3 linked regions of the Macaca fascicularis genome follow. The protein of the gene in region 1 binds, or shares a complex with, the protein of each later gene. Links are inferred from orthologs where the notes say so. Each region holds a gene or a part of one and is shown in the gene's direction. Other genes may lie near its edges.

What was found. Proteins that work in one complex are often made in the same cells at the same time.
Region 2: PHLDB2 (region 1) and liprin-beta-1 share a complex: the UniProt entries of both Homo sapiens proteins name them as parts of the cortical microtubule stabilization complex. The link is inferred for Macaca fascicularis from reciprocal best matches to the Homo sapiens genes PHLDB2 and PPFIBP1.
Region 3: PHLDB2 (region 1) and PPFIA1 share a complex: the UniProt entries of both Homo sapiens proteins name them as parts of the cortical microtubule stabilization complex. The link is inferred for Macaca fascicularis from reciprocal best matches to the Homo sapiens genes PHLDB2 and PPFIA1.

The regions. Positions count from the first base shown.
Region 1 is NC_088376.1:171,345,645-171,353,255, reverse strand, and holds the start of PHLDB2 (pleckstrin homology-like domain family B member 2), read left to right. Parts: upstream 1-3,110; 5' UTR 3,111-3,217; coding exon of another isoform or gene 3,218-3,320; intron 3,321-7,611. UniProt on the Homo sapiens protein: Seems to be involved in the assembly of the postsynaptic apparatus. May play a role in acetyl-choline receptor (AChR) aggregation in the postsynaptic membrane.
Region 2 is NC_088385.1:30,260,254-30,267,733, forward strand, and holds the start of liprin-beta-1, read left to right. Parts: upstream 1-3,616; 5' UTR 3,617-3,773; intron 3,774-6,496; exon of another isoform or gene 6,497-6,656; intron 6,657-7,480. UniProt on the Homo sapiens protein: May regulate the disassembly of focal adhesions. Did not bind receptor-like tyrosine phosphatases type 2A.
Region 3 is NC_088388.1:4,397,360-4,404,665, reverse strand, and holds the start of PPFIA1 (liprin-alpha-1), read left to right. Parts: upstream 1-3,442; 5' UTR 3,443-3,540; intron 3,541-4,396; coding exon 4,397-4,660; intron 4,661-7,306. UniProt on the Homo sapiens protein: May regulate the disassembly of focal adhesions. May localize receptor-like tyrosine phosphatases type 2A at specific sites on the plasma membrane, possibly regulating their interaction with the extracellular environment and their association with substrates.

The DNA.
Region 1 (7,611 bases):
GGACAGTGGCCAAAGCCCATGTGCCTCAAACCTCACCCGGGATGGCCTGGATAAGTGCCAGTGAGACTAAAGCACTAGTCAGACCAGGGTGTTTTCACAGCTGGGCAGTGTTTTTGGACAGCATGGGTGGGGAGGAGGCCACAACAGTGTCAGCCTCTGTCCAGTAGCATCTTGCAATTGAGAGAAGCCTTAGGCAGGCAGATGGCTTTAATCTAAGGAACTAAGCATCTAAAGAATAGGATTTATCCTGTAGAGAAAGGCCATAAGAAGCAATGTTCTTGTAAAAGGAGGCCACTGAATGCTGGTTTTTGTTTAACCTGAGGACTGAGCTGCTTTTTAGCCTGGAGACTTTCCTACCTTGATCCTCACTGGGCATTTGCACAATCCAGTTCCAGAAGGTGTTTCTAGGACCTCCATGAAGTGTAAGGAGATCTGGAAGAAAACATTAAGCTGCCTTTTGCAAAAACTTCCCCCACCAAAACTTGTGAGTGTAGAACTAACTTACCTGTGTGAACATCAGAGGGGCAGTGGACTACTTCAGGGGGGCTGAAATGCCCCAAACTGACACATACAATTTTAGATGTATGTGCACTTTTTTCTGGTAGAGGACCGATAACTTGCATCAAATTCTCAAGGAATTTATCATCTTAAAATGTGATAAACCACTGCCTTTCAAATGCCTATAAGAATGCATTATCATTTAAATGTTATTAAGCAAGCAAAGCTGACTAATTGAGGCTAGCACTGGCAAGTCTTGGTCCTTCCTATAAAAAAAAAAATCTAAGATTCTTGTAGAATTGCTCACTGTAGGTGCTCTGTTTCGAGAGGTAAGTTCAGATCAAACAACATGAAAAGAAATAGACTAGCCCAAGTTCAAGGGATCCTAAGGAATAGTTAGATGAGACCCAGCAAGAGAGTGTGGTCAGAGGAGCCAGCAGAACCAGGCACACTAGGAGACAAGAAATGGCAGGGGCACTATGTGAAGACTTGGGCACCACATTTCAGAGGGAAATGGGTAAATTGGAGCCGCCTTAGAGAAGAGCAACTTGGAGAGGGAGGGGTCCAGAAGTCATGTCACATGGAAAACTGGGGTAGTTGGAACAGGAAACATTTGGAGCAAGGTGACAGGGATATCTTCAAGTATTTTTAAATTGTTGCATGACTTGAATTTAGAATATTACGGCTTTAGATATAGAAGGGATCAAAGAACATTTGTACAAGGCATTAATGTTATAGGAGAGAAAACTGAAAGCCAGAGAGAACCGACTGGCTAAGGCAAAGGTGGGACTAGAATCCAGATTCTGATTCCCTTCCCAGTGCTGTTTGCCACCATTTCCAGCTGCCTCCCCGAGTGCCTTATGTGCAGGGAAGAGCTAGGACCAATGAATGACCATTTTAAGAAGATCGAGCGATCTCATTGTTCAGTGAGATCACTTGGACTCGGGAAGGGGAACATCACACACCGGGGCTTATCACGGGGAGGGGGGAGGGGGGAGGGATTGCACTGGGAGTTATACCTGATGTAAATGACGAGTTGATGGGTGCTGACGAGTTGATGGGTGCAGCATGCCAACATGGCACAAGTATACATATGTAACAAACCTGTACGTTATCCACATGTACCCTAGAACCTAAAGTATCATGAAAAAAAAAAAAAAAAAAAAGAAGGTCGAGCTTAGCTTGATAAAGAGTATTCCTTTGTAGAATAGGAAGCTAAGTGAGACAGTGATCTCACCATCATAAAGAGTATTTCTGAGGGAATGTGTATTCATGTTCTATAGTCCCTATACAAATTTACCACAAACTCAGTACTTACAACAGTAGTTTAAAATGGTCAGTGTGGCCATGCTCCTTCTGGAGGCCCTAGAGTAGAATCCAGTTCCTTGCCTTTTCAGCTTCCAGAAGCGGCCTGCATTCCTTAGTTCATGGCCCCTTCCTCCAAAGCCAGCAGCATAGCAATCGCTCACCCTGCTTCTGTCATCACATCTTTCTTTTTTTTTTTTTTTTTGAGACGGAGTCTCGCTCTGTTGTCCAGGCTGGAGTGCAGTGGGGTGATCTCCGCTTACTGTAAGCTCCACCTCTTGGGTTCACACCATTCTCCTGCCACAGCCTCCCGAGTACCTGGGACTACAGGTGCCTGTCACCACGTCCAGCTAATTTTTTGTATTTTTAGTATAGACGGGGTTTCACCGTGTAGGCCAGGATGGTCTCGATCTTCTGACCTCATGATCCGCCCGCCTTGGCCTCCCAAAGTGCTGGGATTACAGGCCATCACATCTCTTTGTCTTATTCTGACCTTTCATAAAGACCCCTGTGATTACACTGGGCCCACCTGGATAAGCCAGGATAATCTCCCATCTGAAGATCCTTAACTTGACCACGTCTGCAAAGTCCCCTTTACCATGTAAGATAACATACTCGTAGATTCTGAAGATTAGGATGTGGACATTTTTGGGGGGCTATAACTCAACCTACCACAGAATGTATGGAAAGGTTTACTGATGCTGGTGCAGGTCTTAGAGCAGATCTGGATTCAATTCTTGGCTTCAGCACCTACTAGTTGCAGGACCATTACCCCTTTGAGCCTTTGTTCCCTCATGCATAAAAAAGAAATAAAATCTCAACATTACCATGAGGATTTGTGGTAATATTCATGAAATGCATAACATATAACATTCTCTCAATGAATGGTAGCCATATTTATTTGAAAAACTGCCAGATGCTTCTCACCATACAAGAATTTAATAGAAGAAACTCCATTATTACATGGGACATTTGATAAAGTGACCTGCAGATCTCCTCTGAGATGGCTAAAATCTAAAGGAATAAAAATTTCGTTTCCTCTATAAACTATTCTCAGGGCCTCTTGTCCACTTCCCAGATGCAGTTACAAGGGAATCACTTTTCTGGATAGCCAATGGCTATCAGACTGTGCTTTCTGCCCCCTACAGTCCTGCCATCTGATTTTGCTGTGCAGCTCTGGTTGAATTTAAACAGGATTAGGAGTCTGTCCTGGTGTGTAATGATTGGCTAGACCAGGTGGCTGAGGCCAGGGCAGACTCCCTCCTTCACATCTGTCAACATACCTGGCTGCAAGCAAGTTGCTGCCTGTGACCACTGTCTGCAGAGGCCAGAGAGAGCAGGAAAGGAAGTGGAAAGGAACACCTCACCTTCATGCTTGGGGAAAAGGAGAAACCTGTGTTAATGTGTCTTCCCAATGTTCCACTCTCTTCAGCAATGGTTGGAAGAGCCGTGGGTCATCTCTGCTGAGTCAGGAAAGAAGCTGAGGGAAGAGTCAGGATTGAAAAGCAGCAGACAAGGTAGGTGATCTCTTGGGTCATTGGCCCTTCTCTCATGATCACAAAATGAGCACCGTACACAGCCTTGTCACCAGAGTGTCTCTGAGGATGGTCTGCTGAAGGAGATATGGTAGACCTGGGTATGTGTCTGAATTCAGTCATTTTTCCATCAGCCTATTCTGGAAAGCAGGCTGTATTTTCCTTCTGTCTTCTATCTCTTCTGAAAATTGTTGTTGCCCCTGTACGTATTTCAGAAACTTGGAAGGTTTTAAAAAAATTTTTCATTATAACAAATTATATGTGTGATTTGTTAAAATGATTTCATTGGTGGTAGCTCCACAAGCATGGTTTTGTTCCAGAATTTTCCTTGCATAATTTTTTTCAATTTTCAAGACATACCAGAGAGGACAGTGTAAGTATATTGTAGTACATGGTATAGAATAATATATTCTGAGAAATATACGGTCCACTCACAGGGCTGTCAATCTCATATGACAGACTCTTTCAGGAAGTCATGTGTATTTTTCTGCTTTGGAACCTAGAGAGTTAAAAGTTCTGAAATTACTGGAGCAGAATCAAGCCTATTTACCTAAGCTTATCACATCGGCAGCCAGGTCAATCATTTACTGGGACTAGGCTGCTTCTTACCCTGAGTGGAGGACCACCAAAGCCTTTGCTGGCCTGAGTCCCTCTGTAGAAAAGACATGGGAAACATAGAAGAAATGCTTCTCTGAAGCTATAGTCCAGATTCTCTTCTCACCAGAAGTAAGTTTTTCTCCTTCCTAGAATAGTAAATATCCCAAGGCCTTCCCTTCCCAGCTCAATGATAAACAAGCATGAGCAAAACTAATACGCAAACCTGATACCAATGCCACTTTAGGTACAGAGCTTGTGGCTGTGGAGGGAGCTTCCCTCATCACTGGAGGTCTATGGGGAAGAAGGAGATGATAACTATGAAACAAGTTATTGAGTGATTCTTGAGGAAGAATAAAGTTATAAAGTAATCACCAAAGAAAACATAGAAATTTTCCCCTTCAAGTCTATACATTCTAGAAATATGTTATTTTTATCAAGTATGATTCACTCTTCCTTAAGTCTGAATATAACTCCTCTAATTGCAGAAATGTTGTTATATTGTCACCACATACAACTTTCAGGCCTGTGCAGTGGTTCCTGGCTCCTATAGTCATTAGTTAGAAGCCTGGTAATGCTGAGGCCCTATTTTTCTGAACTCCCTTTAGGGAAGCAGTTGGGTCACCTAGGACAAGGTAATGTTTGACATTATTTTTGTCAATCAGTTGTGGAACCGAAGTGACTCACCTCAGGTAAGGTTTGTGGCTGAATATTTAGTGTCTGAGGCAGTTAACTAGATGCAAGAGTGGAGGCCATTGTAGACACAAACCCATGTGTGATTTTGGGTAAGTCTGTGCTACCTCCCAAGAATGTTGTGGAGAATTATGGAAAACTGATACATTTCTGTGAAGATATTAAGCACTGCAAAATGTTAAGTGTGAATCTGGCTGGCATCCAGAGGATGTTTATAGATAATACAAGTGATGGAGGTGGTTTTGACGAGGGAAAAGGATCTTGGGGTGATCAAATGATTGGCTAGGTTGGGCATGGTGACCCATGCCTGTAATCCCAGCACTTTGGAAGGTGAGGCAGAGGATTGCTTGAAGCCAGGAGTTCAAGATCAGCCTGAGCAATAAAGTGAGACTCTGTCTCTACAAAAAAAAAATTTTTTTTTTTAATTATGCATTGGCCATATTTCCCCACATTACCGAAGGCTGCCTTAGGGACAGACACACAGGTCTGATCTGTCCTTTTTTTGTAGCTTCTGCCTCAGGGCCTAAAACACAGTGGAAGCCCCTAAGGGTATATCCAGCTTTTTCTTTCCATTTCCTGAATATTGGATAGTAAGTAGAGGAAGACTACTCTTCAGATTAACTAGATTAGGATAGGCATTGTCATTGTTTTTAAATGTTAGGTAGTTAGAATATGGAAGTTAATTAATTTGTCCAAAATCATGCAATTAGTCTGAGCCTGGATTCTACTCAGTTCTACCTTGTTCCCAACCCAGTGCTTTTCCCATAAGGTCATGGAGATGACCATATGGATAAGCGTAAATTGAAGGGTCACTGAGGTAAGCAAGGCTGACCAATACAGTCAGAAGTTCTCCACTGGCTCTTGGATGTGCCATGCCTGAGCCACTGTAACCGAAAGGCCAGTACTGGACTTCCGAAAAGGATAGAACAGGCAAGAGCAAAAGGAAGTGTTTTTAGTTGTGGCAGTCACTGGAGTCTTCTCTGTTCTGTATATTTTCTAAATAACCCAGCTAATCCTCAGGCTAGGTCTTTGCCCCTTTTTATACTGTAGACTCAAATCCATGAGCCCCAACTAAAGTACAACATCTGAACTATTTCCAGAGAAGAAATGACCCTATCTCAGTCTTTCCCAAGGACCTCAAGAATTTACTTACTATCTCATCTCAGCAAATATCCACTCATCTAAATCTAAGAGACTTGGGCACAAAGAGGCTTAAAGCCAGAGAAACAATCAATAGTCCCTCCTATCAAGGCTCTCACCATCTGCAATCCAAAGATACCCATGTCGGCTTGGAGTCTAAATGGCTTGTTGGTGTCATTTGAGCAGTGAATGAGTAATGTACAGTAGAAGCCTTAATCCACCCCCCACCCCTATTTTCACTTTTGTTCAGATATGTCCTAAAGATTCCATTGGCTGTCTGTCATAAATTCCAAAGCAGCCACAATTCCTGAGCATTTACAAGATCAAGATAAAGAAATGCCATCATGAAATGAGGTCGACTAAATGTCTTTGAACAAAGGGTTTCTAATGACTTGCCTCACACGTATCTCAAGTGTGTGATAGCAAAGGCATTACAAATAGGGATTGCATCACCATGTCTACTAGTACCCTTTACTAATCAACTGACCTCGCATGAACTGTATTTACATGCCATCATTTTCATTAACTAAAACACTAGGAGAAAGAAAGTTGAAGCTAAAACACAAAGACTCATCACAACATTTCACCTGTATCAACTACTTACTATGAACTGCTGCCTTCTTATCTACACTTTTTTTCATTTAATTTTCATAACAAACCTATGCAACTTGCCCAAGTCACAGAGCTAGTAAGATGAGGTAAAATTTGAGTTGAGGTCTGACTCCAAATCCCATGTTCTTCAGCATTCTGTTCTGGGAAACATACTCACCCAACAGTGTCTACACTGTTCACGTTCTACATGTAAAAGAGTAAAAAAAGTTCTTTTTAAATTATTTGATCGGATCCTTAGAGTACATATTTATTCCCCCTTTCCACCCACACCAGATGTTCTTGATGTACTTGAGTATAAGCATAAAACTCAATATGACAGTGGTTTTCCTTTCTCTAGAAAAGGAACCACAAAACATACATGCACATATACACACACACAACAGCAATTGCCCAAGAGTCAGTGCTTTGATTCCTTTCTGAAGCTGAGAGAGAAAATTGTTCTTATCTCCTAGTTTATAAACATTGTTTTGTTTGTTTGATTGATTGACTTTAATGCAATGTACAAGACAAATTTGTCATTTATTATACCCAACTTTTTAAAAATTTTATTTCTGCAGTGAAATTTCAGTCTTTGAAATCAGCTACATTTTTCAAAACTGTCCAGTATGTCAATAGTTGTATTTAATCTTCACCTCAGCCCTGTAAGATGAGTACTGTTTTCAGATGATATCCTTTCAGATAAGGAACCTGAGACTTATACAGGTGAATGCCCTTCTCAGTCTCACTCAGCTAAGTCCCTTAGGTCTTGGGACTCCAAATTTTTTTTTCTTTTTTAAATTAAATATTCATGCAGTTCCCTGGATTCCTAAGTCCTACAAATGGTAGGAATGGGGCCTACAAGCTTTTTATTTAAATTTTCAGAAATTAAAAATGCCAAGTGAATACACAGCCTATTCTCAGGCAGAGACCATTCAAATATTGATTGCTTTGCTTTGGGCTAGAATTCTAACAGGTGAGTGTGGTAATACTGTTATTCTAATTAGATTTTCATAGAGTAATGAAAATAAAGACAATAATTGTTACTTAATAAAATCCGCCTTAAAGTCAAAAAATCTTTCAAGCCCATGTGCCCATGAGTAAAATAAGGTATCAAAGGGGTTCTTGCTAGAAGGATAAGCCACCGCTGTCTTCTAATTAGTTGTGTGCCTAGAGAACAGTATACATGAGTAGGGGCTAGAGACCGCATGGTGTCTTGAGATGCATAAGCCCTCTCTAACCCTGTAGTTAGATGGTT
Region 2 (7,480 bases), on another chromosome or scaffold:
CAGATGCTGCACAGTCAGCATCCTTTAGTGGAAAGGAATTTCTGAAGATAGAATCTGGAAGAGCAAGGGAAAGTAGCAGAGAATCTAATTTTTATAGGACTTGGGAGATAGATGCTGTATCCTGAAGATTTATCAGCAACTTGTTTCAACGTGCCAGGAAAATTTCTTCAATGAAAGCATTTGTTTAAACCAATTTTTCCATCATCATCTTACATCTGTTTTTAGCTAAAATTTATTCCTCTTAGTCTTCTTTGACAGAAATGTCTGGGTTAAAGTTAACCCACCACTTTAAAATGTAAGTTCTAGTTAAGTAAAAGAATTCTAGTTAAATATTAGGAAAGACTAAAGAGATAATAAATTAATGATTGTCTAGGTGACAGGTGAGTGAAGTAGAAATTAATGGATCAGTCTGAAGCCTGGGAATTGTATATATGGCACTGGTCCAGGAAATGTCAAGTTGGGTAAATTTTGATCAGTAGTGAGCCATGATATATTATTTGAACACTGAGCCCTATTTAATATTGTGGCAGGTGGAAATCAAGGGGGGGGGGACTTACTGGTTTTGAGTAATGCTCTGTTGTTACTGGGCATGTTCCTAAGACTTTGAAGAGGCCTATCCACAGTGCATGTTGATAGAAAGGATGGCCGTGCTCTCCCACCCAAAGGTTTGACAGCTATAGAAAGGCTTGAGCTGCTTGGGGCAGACACTATGCAGATCACCTGCATTCAATGAAAACAGAAAGCTCCTGTGTATTGAACAGGCTGGCTCCCTATCTTGTTGACCTCTCTCAGAATACAGAAACCAGACATACTTTTTAGGAGATTCAATTAACGAAGTTTGTAATGAGGTTAATTGTTTAAGGGAATTTAATTTGTTTAATTTAGTCATTCGTTGAACATTAATCAAAGACCATGAAAACCAATTATCCTTATTTTTAATTAAATTTTTTTCAACTGATAAATAGGCTAATAAAATGAGTAAGTTGAATGTGACTAGATGTTTAGACGTATCTGGTGGGTAACCAGAGAATAACCAGCACAACTGGGTTGCAAGGAAGAAGTGATTAAAATAAGACTCCCCACTTGGAGCAAGATATTGTGCCTGTTTCTAACCTGTCTCTGTGAGCAAGAAGAGAATGGGGAGGAGGGCTAGATTCAGAAATGATGTCAATGATGAGAGCTAGGTAGTGGCTTAGCATTCAATGAAAGGATATTAAAATAATGTCTGGATTATCACCAATGCCATGCTTAGGATCAGACAGAATAAGCAGTAATTTCCTTTAGAAGGAATTCTAAAGCTAAGCTTGTTTCATTTGGATTTGGGTTCATGATTTATACCATGTGTTTAACCCACTCTGCGTTTGGCAGTGTAACTGGGATAACAACAACTGGAGGCACCCGGATCCTTTGTGATCAGTCTGGTCAAGTTATTCCTGAACTTCTGAAGACCTAGACCATAGCAGGTTATGAGCAAAAGACAGCATTCATTCATTCATTCATTTGGTGAATCTTTAATCAATATCTGTGGGACAAAACATGGTTCTAGATCCTATAAAGGATGTAAAGATGAAATAAATTAGCATTCTGTTCTTGAGGGCTGTAAGAAACTTGCAGCCAGAAAGGAACATAAGGCACCTATAAAAATAACAGTACGATTGTTTTATGTCATAGGAAAGAGGAAAATATGTTTGCTTATGACCTATGATGTGTCAGGCAAGGTGCTCTGTCATCTTGCATATGACATCTTGTCAGATCCTTGCAACCACACTGTGAGGTAGATTTTTGTAGAAACGGGCAAAAATCACAGTGAGGACATATTATTAGGGAATATGGGTGCAAAGTCATGCAGTTCATGCACTGTGGGGATATGAAGAAGAGTGGAAAATAAGTTCAGAAAGGTAAGTTGGGGGCAAGGATGTGAAGGCTTTTGGACACTAGTCAAGAAAGCCTGATGAGTTTTGTTCCTTGGTAAAGGGAGAGTCATTTAAGTTTTTAGAGTCAGGAGTGATCAGGGTTGTGCTTTAGAGAGCTGCACCTGGAAGCCTATAAAGCCCAGACAGGCAAATGATGTGGACTTGATGAGTAGGGTGAGCCTCTTATGGCATCCGTATCCAAAGTAGGGGAGATGTCCTCATGCCTGCTCAGGTTTGGGGATGGGGTGACAGAGAGAGTCAGCTTGTTCTGTTACTGCAAAGGGCAGAAACGACAGTGTAAATTGTGGACAATCAATGCTTTAGAAATAGAAAGACAAAATAGGTTTGGAGTCAAATAGACCTTGGTTTCTTTTCTTTTTCTTTTCTTTTCTTTTTTTTTGAGACGGAGTCTTGCTCTGTCACCTGGCTGGAGTGCAGTGGCGCGATCTTGGCTCACTGCAACCTCCGCCTCCCGGGTTCAAGCCATTGTCCTGGCTCAGCCTCCCGAGTAGCTGGAATTACAGGTGTCCACCACCACACCCAGCTAATTTTTGTATTTTTAGTAGAGATGGGGTTTCACCGTGTTGGCCAGGATGGTCTCAATCTCCTGACCTCGTGATCCGCCCACCTCGGCCTCCCAAAGTGCTGAAATTACAGGCATGAGCCATCGCGCTCGGCCCCTAGACCTTGGTTTCAATCCCAGTTCTGGGCAATCTGGAGCAATTTACTTGTATAACCCTGGAGAGTCTTTGATTCCTCATGTCAAAATGATGCTAGTAACACTTACAGGATGTTTGTGACGATTAAATGAGACACAAGACAGATGTCTTTGGGGAGAAAGTCAGTAAAGCAGGATCTAGATGGAGATGAGAAAGATCTTTAATGGTGGGCTGCTTGCTTCTTTGTGTGTGTTACTGGTTGCCAGATGAGTTCAAGCAGGGGCTGGAAGCTACCTGTAAGGAATGTTGATGAAGGGTTTCTTGCATTTTAATAGTGGTTGCATCAAATGACTTTTAGGATCCATTTCAAGTTCTAATTGAGTAGTTTACTCCTGCTCCGCGGTGTCTCTTGCTCCCTAGCCCCCAATAGTGGTTCTCTTTGGCAAAAAGTTACCAAAGGTGAGGCTGGTCATAGGAATAACTAGGCAGAAAATATCTAGACCTACAGAGTAAATTAGCATTGAAACCATAGGAATCATAAATAATCATTTGCACTAAGCCAGCTAGGAGCCGGGATAGTGAGTAAGTTCTGGTTACCTTCTCATCAGGCATCCTGTGTTGCTTCTGCTGCACTATCCTGATTTTTTTGGAGTTTCCCCAAGATACCCAGAGGCCAGTGATTTCAGTATGTTTATTTAAGGGTTACACTGTCTTCAAAAAATGAAGTATCATGGTGAAGCCTAAATGTAGAGCAGATAAAAGAGCTGTAACTCTGGTTAAAGAGGCGGGGGCGGGGGGCGGGAAAGAGGCTGAAATCTCAACCATTGGTTCCTTCGTCACCCACCCTGTAACCTCTAGCTTGAACATTACTGCTCCAAACCTGGCCTGTTTTCAGCCTTCCCTTTGAGTCTTTTGTTTTCTGGATTCTGGATGGCAGCTGTTATCACTCCAGCTGCAGAGAGGATGGGAGGCGACTTCCTGTTTTTCTATCCTGCCATCTCTGTGGGGGTGGGACATTCCCTCCCCCATCTCCTGCGGCTGCCTGTAGTTTTGGAAGAATGTGAGCCTGGATGCAGCCGTCCTGACTAGGGCTGTAGGAATGGCTGGTAGCCACCCAGCCTCTGTTTGAAGGCATCTGGGAGCAAGACAGGCAACAGACACTGATGGACAAGTTGTGTCCCTGACTGTGGGACAGGGAAGGGTGAGTAGCTAAGAGAAAGGTGAAGTAGTTGGTCCAGAAGTAATCTGAGGGAGTTAAGGGTGTTGAACAAATGGTGGGTAGGGGTGTGGGAGAACGGAAGGGCTCTGGCCAAAGCATAAAAAGATAGAAAGAGAGAGAGAGGAAAAAAAAAGAACAAGAAGAAACAGTTAGTTTTTGTCTGAGATATTATTTGGGGATACAGTGCATTTAAAGAATGGAAGAGAATAGAAATGATACAATGATCCATTTTCTCACGCCCTGTATTTTTATCGAGCCTTTTCCTTGAATTGGGTACAAGGAATATAAAGAGGTCCTATAAGCAATATGCTTGCTCTTCAGAGTTTGGGAAGGCAGGAAAGGCATTTAACTGGACATGTATAACCACATGTTTACACATCTCTACAATCTCAATCCTTATAACAACCTTTAACGTAGGTATTGTCAGCCCTATTTTAAAGAGGAGGTAACTGAGATTAGGGATGGATGTTTTAGTGACTTGCCCAAAGTTACCCAATAGGTAAGTGGCAGAGCCAGGCCAAGAACCTTGAGTCCTTTTTTCTGTCCGCTGTAACACACAGCTAAGTCTTGGCACAGGACAAGGACTTTAATTAGGCTTTGAGAGAAGGGTGGGACTTAACACACAGATGAGTGGGGATTCCGGTTAGGCCGAAAGGTGAGAATGAAGCAGGGATCTGTGAGTAGACCTGTTTTGACTACAGAGAGGGTTTCCTGGGAGCGAAGTAGGAGATAAGCTGGGAAAGGGAAGTAGAAGCCAGATAAGGGAGAGTTTTAAATGGCTAGAAAAGAATTGCCGGGAAAGGGGGACCTGATTTAGAGGGGAAGAGGTTGATGACAAAACCAAACATTTTAGAAAACTCATCTGGTAGTGGTACAGAGAAAGAATTAGAATTGGGGGAAACTGGAGTCAGAAATTCAAGTCAAGAGTTTGGGATAGTGCAGGCCTGACAAGCAACAAGGGGGTAATGATACAAAGTAGGTCTGTGAGGGCAGTGGCCCAAGCCTGTGGATTTCTTGTAGCATTCTATTGTTTGAAAAAATATATATTATGGACACTCAATACTTGAGATATGGAAAGAAAAACTATGGCTTTGGAGTCAAATAGACCTTGGTTTCAATCCAAGTTCCGGGTGATCTGGAGAAATTTACTTACATAACTTTGCTGAGCCTTTGATTCCTTATGTTAAAATAGGGCTAATAACACTCAATTTACAGGATGATTGGGAAGATTAAACAAGACACAATGCTGGATTCTGTGCATCCCTCTACAATTTTTGGCAGATCGGTGAAATGTAAGGCATGTCATCAATCAAAAAACAATGAAGCCTGGCGCGGTGGCTCACACCTGTAATCCCAGCAGTTTGTGAGGCAGAGGCAGGTGGATCACTCGAGGTCAGGATTTCGAGACCAGCCTGGCCAGCATGGCAGAAACCCCTCTCAACTAAAAATACAAAAATTAGCCGGGTGTGGTGGTGGGCGCCTGTAGTCCCAGCTACTCGGAGGATGAGGCAGGAGAATCACTTGAACCCGGGAGGAGAAGGTTGCTGTAAGCCAGATCGTGCCACTGCACTCCAGCCTGGGTGACAGAGTGAGCTGTTTTTTAAAAAAAAAAAGAGAAAAAAAGAAAGTTATTAATTCACTATATTTCTAGAAGATGGTGGGTTATATGCTACCTATATCTCACACAAATAAAGCTGCTTTTCACCATTCAGTCCTGCCTCTAAGTAGCATCTGCCTTGAAAGAACCATCTTCTGAGAATCTTTCTCTTCTGTCAGCCAAGGGGATTATACCGCATGATATCTGTCAAGGATAAACGTTAGTTAATTCTTAATTGATAGCTCAGCCACTACAATTGGTTCCATTCAACAGTAATTATTCTCATGTGGTTTGTGGAACTCAATTGTGAGGTCCCTCCTTCCTCCACCCTTTTCAGTGTGTGCATTAAAACAGCAGCCTTAAGGTCTTTAAACGAGTAAATAAATTTTTCTTGCTTCAGAGATTCAATTTTACTTGCCCGAGAAGCTTGTGTGGTGTGATTTTCATCGCTAAAAGCAAAAGCAGCCATGTGGCTGATAACACCACTTAGCAATTCAAAGCTCGGTCACCGTTTTCAGGAGTCGCTTCCAAATCTTTCTGAAGTGCTTTTGAAGCTCTACATTCCCCGTCTAAGGGAACACCCAGCAGTCCCAGGATAAAAGGGCAGAAGGGTGAGCTGACGTTTTCCTTTATTTGCATGGCTTAAAGCTAGCCATTTTCTACACCACGCGCCGCCGGGCTCGTACATGCCCGTGTGCCCGTGACACTGAGGCAATTGTTTCTCCTTAAAAAGGGGGTTCGCGTGGGTTAGTTTCGTTTCTGATCTGCAATCTCAGTAACTACAACAAGAAAAGTCTAAAACTCGACCCGCCAGGTTCTTCCCCATCGCATTATCTCCGTTCCTTAGAGATAGCAGGAAGGGCAGCATTTTCTTCCATCCACCCACTTTCAGCCCTAGTCTGGCTCAGCGAGGAATGTATAAAATTAGTGGACTCCTCTGAGTGACGTTCCCCGGCTCCAATCAGCGGGCGCGCAGGCGCCTCCGGCTCCGCCCCACTGCTGACTCTCTTTGGCTGATTCCTGCAGGGAGGGAGGAGAGAAGGGCGGCAGTGGGAGGGGGAAGTACCTGAACTGGGAGTGATGTCAGCTCCCAGCTCGGTGCCTGCCCGGATTCCTGACATGGTGTAGTGCAGGCAGGGTGGGGAAGGGACGGGGAAGGACTCGTGTGCTGCGAGCCGGCGGACGGGCCGGAGTGCTGGGGCTTTGAGCTCCAAGAGGAGGTGGACGAGAACTTTTGGAACTAGTGCCGGCGGCTCTCCACCCCCCAGGTAAGGGCGTTTTGCTCCACTACGAGACGGGAGGGAAGTGGCACCGTGTGGCTGCAGCTGGCTGTTGCAGCTGCTCCTCCTCTTCCCTGGGTCGATTTCCTTGTGCAACTCACTCCTGTTTCCCAATGGGAACGGGCACTTTTGGGGGGTGGTAAGGGTGGAGGGTAGGGCTTAACTCCTGGGGCTCCGACCGAGCTTGTACGTGAAGAATACTCCAGGATTGGACGTTTAGGTCTTGTCTGTATCCTTAGACCCCCACACCCTAGGTTCCCAGTAATACCTGAGAACCCCAACCAGAGGGGTGTGTGTCTCTCTACATTGGGGGATTTTAAAATGCCGCAAAAAAATTATGAATCATCGACTCAAAAATTATGCTCGTTGAAAAGAAAAAAAGTTTTGTATTTTTTTTGTCTCCTTGTGGCCTATTATATATTAAAAGAATATCAGTGTTATTCTTATATATCAATGTAAAATATCCTTTTGTGTAATCCAGTCAGGACGTGAGAAATTCACTTGGGGTGTGTATTAATTATGAGCTTGTGGGAAAACTCGTCTCTTGGGGGCACACTTCTAAAACTGCAACTAGTATTCGCTCATTTTAACCGAGAAATCCCTTCAGCTGCCAACTTTGTATTTGGAGGGGTTAGGATGGCTGCTGAGAATCTTCAGATCTGTTTCCTGTGGCTGCTTTAAAGGTGGGCTGGTAGTTGTGTTTTCAGGGATCTCTTTTAGAGAAGGGAGTTTTAACAGGGAAATGCGGTAGAAGGCGTGGCATATAAACTCTTAATTATAGAGTCGTGAATTTTTCAACATGTGGGACCAAA
Region 3 (7,306 bases), on another chromosome or scaffold:
TGCCTCCTCTATGAAACCCCCATGATGCCAGCTGGAGAGAGGGTTCCTCCCTTCCCTGTGATTCCACAGCACCAAGTCATACACTGTTTATGGGACAGACATTGCAATAGTCTGATTTTCTTCTCTCCTCCAGACTGTGAATTCATACTAGAAGTGATGTCTTAGCTCTGTGTTCCCAAAACCTAAGCCATGCTTGGCTCATACATGCTCCACAAATGTCCATGAAATGAATGAACATTCTACCCTGCTGAACTAAATTTTGATCTTGAGCCGATTTCTTAGAAAACAGACACTTTATGCCGGGCGCGGTGGCTCACGCCTGTAATCCCAGCACTTTGGGAGGCCGAGGCGGGCGGATCACAAGGTCAGGAGATCGAGACCACGGTGAAACCCCGTCTCTACTAAAAAATACAAAAAATTAGCCGGGCGCGGTGGCGGGCGCCTGTAGTCCCAGCTACTCAGGAGGCTGAGGCAGGAGAATGGCGTAAACCCGGGAGGCGGAGCTTGCAGTGAGCCGAGATCGCGCCACTGCACTCCAGCCTGGGCGACAGAGCGAGACTCCGTCTCAAAAAAAAAAAAAAAAACAGACACTTTATGAGCATGGTGCAAACATAAGCTGGCTGCATTAAGCAGGTACCCCTAAGGAGAGCTGGAAATTTGCTGGTTTTGGACAGTGGTTCAGGGGAACTTGGGAGTGGTGCAGAATTGCTGGCATGTGGAAAGGTACAGGGTACTTGCAGAACACCTCATCTAAGTGATCATCTTTACAATTTTATTTTTTATTTTTGAGACAGAGTCTCGCTTTGGCACCCAGGCTGGAGTGCAGTGGCACAATCACAGCTCAGTGCAGCCTCGACCTCTCAGACTCAAGCAATCCTCCCACCTCAGCCCCCCAAGTAGCTGGGACTACAGGCGTGGCCCACCTCGCTGGACTAATTTTTAATTTTTTGTATAGACGCAGGTCTCGATATATTGCCCAGGCTCAAGCAATCCTCCCACGTTGGACTCCCAGTGTGCTGGGATTACAGACGTGAGCCACTGCACCTGGCCAATTTTTTTTTTTTTTTTGAGACAGAGTCTCGCTCTGTCTCCCAGGCTGGAGTGCAGTGGCATGATCTCGGCTCATTGCAACCTCCACCTCCCAGGTTCAAGCTATTCTTCCACCTCAGCCTCCCGAGTAGCTGGGATTACAGATGCCCGCCACCACACCTGACTAATTTTTGTATTTTTAGTAGGGATGGGGTTTCACCATGTTGGCCAGGCTGGTTTTGAACTCCTGACCTCAAGTGATCTCCCCGCCTGGGTCTCCCAAAGTGCTGGGATTATAGGCGTGAGCCACCACACCCGACCTCACCTGGCCATTTTTACACTTTTAAAATAGCAAGAAACTAGGGGCAAAAAGTACAAATTCATATTTATGTGTAGTCAGTCAATAAATATTTATTGAATGAACTAATAAATTAATGGAAGGTGTACCAGATCCTGACAGGCGAGAAAGTCAGTCGGAGGCAGTGCTTGTTCTTAGTGCACTCACAATGGAGAATCAAGGAATTCACCTTGGACGGGCTCATTTCTCCCTCCCCTGTGCAGTCTCTTCTCAGACTTATTAGTTCTGAGGGGCTCCTGGCTGCCTCACACCAACAACGGTGGCCAGTGGACACTGGCGATGGTGTCCTGTCATTCTGGTTTGTGAAGAGTTTTTGCGCCAAGTCAAACCCTGGGAGGAGTGGGGAGAGCACCCTCTTTCATTAATTAGAGGTGTCTCTATTCATCTCCGTAAATACAACATCTAGCACAAGACTTGGCCCACAGTAGGTGTTTAAAAATGCTTGCTGAGGCCGGGCGCAGTGGCTCACGCCTGTAATCCCAGCACTTTGGGAAGCCGAGGCGGGCAGACCACGTGAGGTCGGGAGTTCAAGACCAGCCTGACCAATATGGAGAAACCCCGTCTCTACTAAAAATACAAAATTAGCTGGACTAGGTGGCGTGCGCCTGTAATCCCAGCTACTCGGGAGGCTGAGGCAGGAGACTCACTTGAACCCGGAGGCAGAGGTTGCAGTGAGCCGAGATGGCGCCATTGCACTCCAGCCTGGGCGACGAGAGTGAAACAACGTCTGGGAAAACAAAACAAAACAAAACTTGCGGAAAGAATGAAATGACCAAGACTTCTGCAGGGCCGCCCGTCAGGTTCTCAACTAGTCACTCTTCACATCTGATTCATATCTTAAAGCAGCCTCGCAGGTAGGTCTGCATCATTTTCCCATCCTACATCGGAGGCGCTGAAGCCCAGGCGGGCTTCCCGAATCGCCCGGGCCCACGCTGCAGAGTGAAAGCCACAGCGGCAAAGCCTGCACGCTGGACGCTGCGCCGGAGCGTCCCCAGGTGCAGCAGGCTGCGCTCCGTAAGTCGGTCCTGGGGGGAACCGCGTCCTGCTGAACCCCGATCAGGCCCGGGGAGACCCTGGGAGCGACGCGGCGGGAGGGGTCTGGGCCCGCGGCAGTGGCTGAAGCCTCGGCTCGCTCTTCCTCACAAGGTGCGAATCCAGCGCCTCCAGCTCGGGAGGGACCTGACGTGCGGGACGCGTCCGCCTCAGAACCCGAGGCGCGGCACATACTCGGCAAAGGCCGCCGGCGTCCCCGCAGCAGTGGGAGGAGACTAGGGATGCCCGGAGGAAGACGCTGACCCGGCGAGCACCTGAGCGCCCACCTGTGGCTCATCCCGGAGACCCCCCCACCGACCCGGGCGGGGCCTGGGGGCGTGGCTCCCGTCTCGCTCAGCCAATCAGTTCCCCGGAGCAGCCGCCCGCCCCCTCCTGAGGCGACAGCGCTTGCGCACTCGGGCCGCGGTCCTCCTCGGGCCCCGCCCCCGGGGCGGTGCTGACGCTCGCGCCGACGCGCTCGACGTCGGGCACGTCGACGCCGGCGCCGCGCAGCCGGGCCCGCTCCTCCTCCGCTCCGCCAGTGTCCGGCCGCGGGCCGGCCTTAGTGACTGGGGCGGCGGGCCCCGGGGCCGCGGCGTGGGGCGGGCAGGCGGACGCCGGCCGCGGGCTGCCTTCGTCGGCTCCCAAGCTCGCCCGGAGCGAGCAGCCGCCCGCGAGCCGCCGCGGAGCCTCCTCGCCCGCTCCCGCCGGTGAGCAAGGTAAGGGAGCGGGACACTGAGGCAGGCTCGGGGCCCAGGCGTCACCGGCTGGTCCCGGTCTCCGCGGCGGCCACGCAGCCGGTTGGATGTGTTCGCGAGGAATGGTGCGCTCCGGGGCGGGTGGGGGCGAGGCCGCGGCGCCGGGTCGCGCTGGGAGAGCTCTGGCGGGACCCCAGCGCCCCGAGGGATGGCTCCGGGGACTGCGCGCCGCCCCTCCCCGAGCCCTGCGCCCCGTGACCTGGGCGCTGGGGCGAGGGGCGGGGAACTGCGGCCGCTGAAAGCCCCGGCCCGAGCGGGCTCCGTTGTCAACGGTCCTCACCTCCGGGGTCCGGGGCTCCCGCCGCACCTGATACAGGAGGGGAAGGAGTACGGTTCGAGCAGGCTGGAGGTCATCCCCATCAGGTGCGCCGCCTGGGCCATCCTCTCTCAGGGGTCCATCGCGCCCCGAATACTGCCCGAAAGACTCAGAAGCGACTTCCCCATCCCCTCGCGCTGTCTTTACATCCCAGACACTTAATAGCCTCTCATCATCTCACCTTTCACTTTTCCCTCTTTCCTAGCCGCCTCCGGCTGTATATCGACCTGCTATATTTCCATTGTGAGTTTTTTTTTTTTTTTCGGTTGTAAACTTACGTAAGTTAGGTTGACTGATCAACCGTTGCAGCCATTGAAAAAAAACACTTCTGCCAGCGTTTAACGAATCCAGTTCCTTTTAGTGCTCACCAGCTCCAGCTCAAGAATTCAGGGAGCCGTCAGTTCTTCACAGGAGCTGACTGCACACATTCCTGCAAGATGCCTGATGGATTTTGTACTTGTCAGTTTTGCTGGCTGTATGCTCCTTCTGTGCTTTTCCTGAAAAATGATTGGGTGACATGTGTTTTGACTTTCTTCCCCCCCCCCCCCCCCACTGGGAAGTAAAAAAAAAATTAGGTAACAGAAGCACACTTGTTTTCGACAAAAACAAGTACAGCTTTGCAAACAGACTACCCCAGGGTTTGCCCTTTTTTGTGAGGGTAGTCCTCTGGTATCTTGACCCCTTCCCTGGATTTTGGTCTGTGTTAATGTCTTCATGTTGTGTATTTCTGCACTTAATATTTGCCCGGTATATGTTTTCCCAGCTTATTTACACACAAAGCGTAACAGATCTGAGGATAATGAGGCTGCCCCTCTTTTTAGCTACAGATACCTGTAAAGTTGCATATTTGTGGGAACCTGTATTCTGCACTTGATGACTGTAGCCTGGCTCTTTCATTTCAAGATGATGTGCGAGGTGATGCCGACCATCAGCGAAGCAGAAGGCCCCCCTGGAGGAGGTGGAAGCCATGGTTCCGGCTCCCCTTCGCAGCCAGACGCAGATTCACATTTTGAACAGTTGATGGTCTCCATGTTGGAAGAAAGGGACCGCCTTCTTGACACACTGAGAGAGACTCAAGAAACGCTGGCCTTAACCCAGGGGAAGTTACATGAGGTTGGTCATGAAAGAGATTCCTTGCAGAGACAGCTCAACACGGCACTTCCACAGGTATGAGTGCTTTTAACTTGAGACTCTGTAGATTATTCTCCACTAAATGTTTTTTTTTTTTAATTGGTGTCATCTTTTGTTAATGTTTCAGATGAGTATTTTCCATAACCATTTGTGAAATGATGGTTTCTGGTGTTTCTAAGTCAAATACAAAGTTCCTAGGGATTAAACTTCTTAGGGAGAACAAATTGTTGTACTCTAAAGTCATGTGAAAATACCTCATTATTTTCATTCCTATCTTTGGGAACTGCCTAGGTTCAGAAAGTTCTCCAGAGTTTCTGAAAAAGGGCTCTGAAGCAACCAATCTATGTGGTCTGTTGTCTTCAACCTTCTCTTGCTAAACTTGTGCTTCCCATGGATTGTGTCTCATGTGTTTCTAATTTCCTAATATAATTTAGTAGACAAATAGGATTTCACAGAAAAAAATATTATTTTGATAGCCCACCTTTATCAGAACATCTAGGTTTTGTAAGTCACATTTGTTTTAGGGGATAGAAGACTGGAGATTGATTCCTTAGGAACTTCTTCCTTGGTAGACGAGAATTTTAAAGCTTAGGCCGGGTGTGTTGGCTCATGCCTGTAATCCCAGCACTTTGGGAGGCTAAGGCAGGCGGATCACCTGAGGTCAGGAGTTTGAGACCAGCCTGGCCAACATGGCAAAACCCTGTCTCTACCAAAAATACAAAAATTAGTGGAGCGTGGTAACACACACCTGTAGTCCCAGCTACTCAGAGGCTGAGGCATAAGAATCACTTGAGACAGGGAGGCAGAGGTTGCAGAGGAGCCAAGATTGCACCACTGTCTCAAAAAAAAAAAAAAAAATTTAAAGCTTAGAACAACTGAAATTATTTCTCTGAGTATATTACATTTGGACCAGTGTTTGAAAGACTTTGCTCATGGAGTTGAATGAGGATTTGCTTAATGGTAGGTAAAGGGAGAAAGTGTAAAAACTAGAAAAGTGTCAGGTGAGTGTCACGGAGCATAGTGGGAGAGAAGTGGGTTACTTAGGTGTTTCAGAGCTGTCTAGGCCCCATGTTACTCATCCTAAGTGCCTTTGGGGTGCATTCAGGTAGACCCGCAGAAACACACATTTATACTCACATGATGGGTCTGCAGTGATAACTTAGTAAATGAATAATTACTAGCCTTAATGTATTTCTTGGCTGTAGTCAGTTCTCTGGGAAGATTGATGAGCCAAACGTGGGTTTCCTTTATAGCAACAATGATTTGACATTAGAGCTGTATGTTCCTTTTTTGTTGGATTAGAGAATCATTAAGATTTTTCTCATTTTAATCTTATAAAATACTAAGTTTATGAAGGTCGAATTTTATTACTACAATTTTTTTTTTTTTTTTTTGAGACGGAGTCTTGCTCTGTCCCCCAGGCTGGAGTGCAGTGGTGCAATCTCAGCTCACTGCAAGCTCCGCCTTCTGGGTTTACGCCATTCTCCTGCCTCAGCCTCCCGAGTAGCTGGGACTACAGGCGCCCGCCACCTCGCCCGGCTAGTTTTTCGTATTTTTTAGTAGAGATGGGGTTTCACCGTGTTAGCCAGGATGATTTCGATCTCCTGACCTCGTGATCCACTCGTCTCGGCCTCCCAAAGTGCTGGGATTACAGTCTTGAGCCACTGCACCCGGCCTTGTTGGGTCTTTTAATTTTAGCTGTTCTGGTGGCTGTTAGCTGGTAGGTGGCTCAGTATGGTCTGAATTTGCTGCTCCCTGATGGCCAGGAACATGCAGAGGTAAAGCATCTCTTCCTGTGTTCACTGACCATCTGGATGTCTTGTGAGACGGTTATCTTTTGCCCATCGGTTGGTTGGGTTGTCTATTTTGTTTCTTACTGATTTGAAGGAGTTTTCTCTATATTCTGAGTACATATGTGCATGACAGATTGTTTTTAGACTCTCGTGTTTACCTTTTCACTTTCTCAGTGGTATCTTTTGATACACAGAAGTTTTAAATTTTTAATGTAGCCCAGTTGATCAATCTTTTCAGTAATGTTTAATGCTCTTTGTGTCCTGCTTAAGAAATTTGCTAGGTCAAGTTCATGAAGATACTCTACATTGTCTTCTGAAAACTGTATTTTTAAATCTTCTGTCTGAAATTGACTTTGTTTATGGTATGTGATGGGGCCAAGAGTCTCTCTTTTTTTTTTTTTTTTAATGGATATCTAGTTGACCCTGCATAATTTCTTAAAAAGACCATTCTTTCCCCAGTGTACTACATGCAGTGTCATCTATGTCATCTCAGTCCAGTGACTGTAAGTGTGTGGGTCTGTTTCTGGACTCTCTTCTGCTCCTTTGATCTTTTTGTCATCTTTGCATAAATAGCACAATGTCTAAATTACCGTAGATATAGTCTGTCTTGAGATCTGGTAATTTAAGAAAAAGGTTCTCACTCGGTTGCCCAGACTAGTGTCAAACTCCTGGTCTCCAGCAATCCTCTCTCCTTGGTCTCCCAAAGTGCTGGGATTTCCATTGTGAGCCACCACACCTGGCCCTGTAGATGTTCTTTATCCAGATGTAAAAATTCTTCTCTTCTTAGTTTGCCAAGAGTTTTTTAAATACCATGAGCAGATGTTATATTTCTTAACATGGATTTTCTGCATCTTTTGAGACAGTCATGTGATTTTTCTGTTATGTGGGA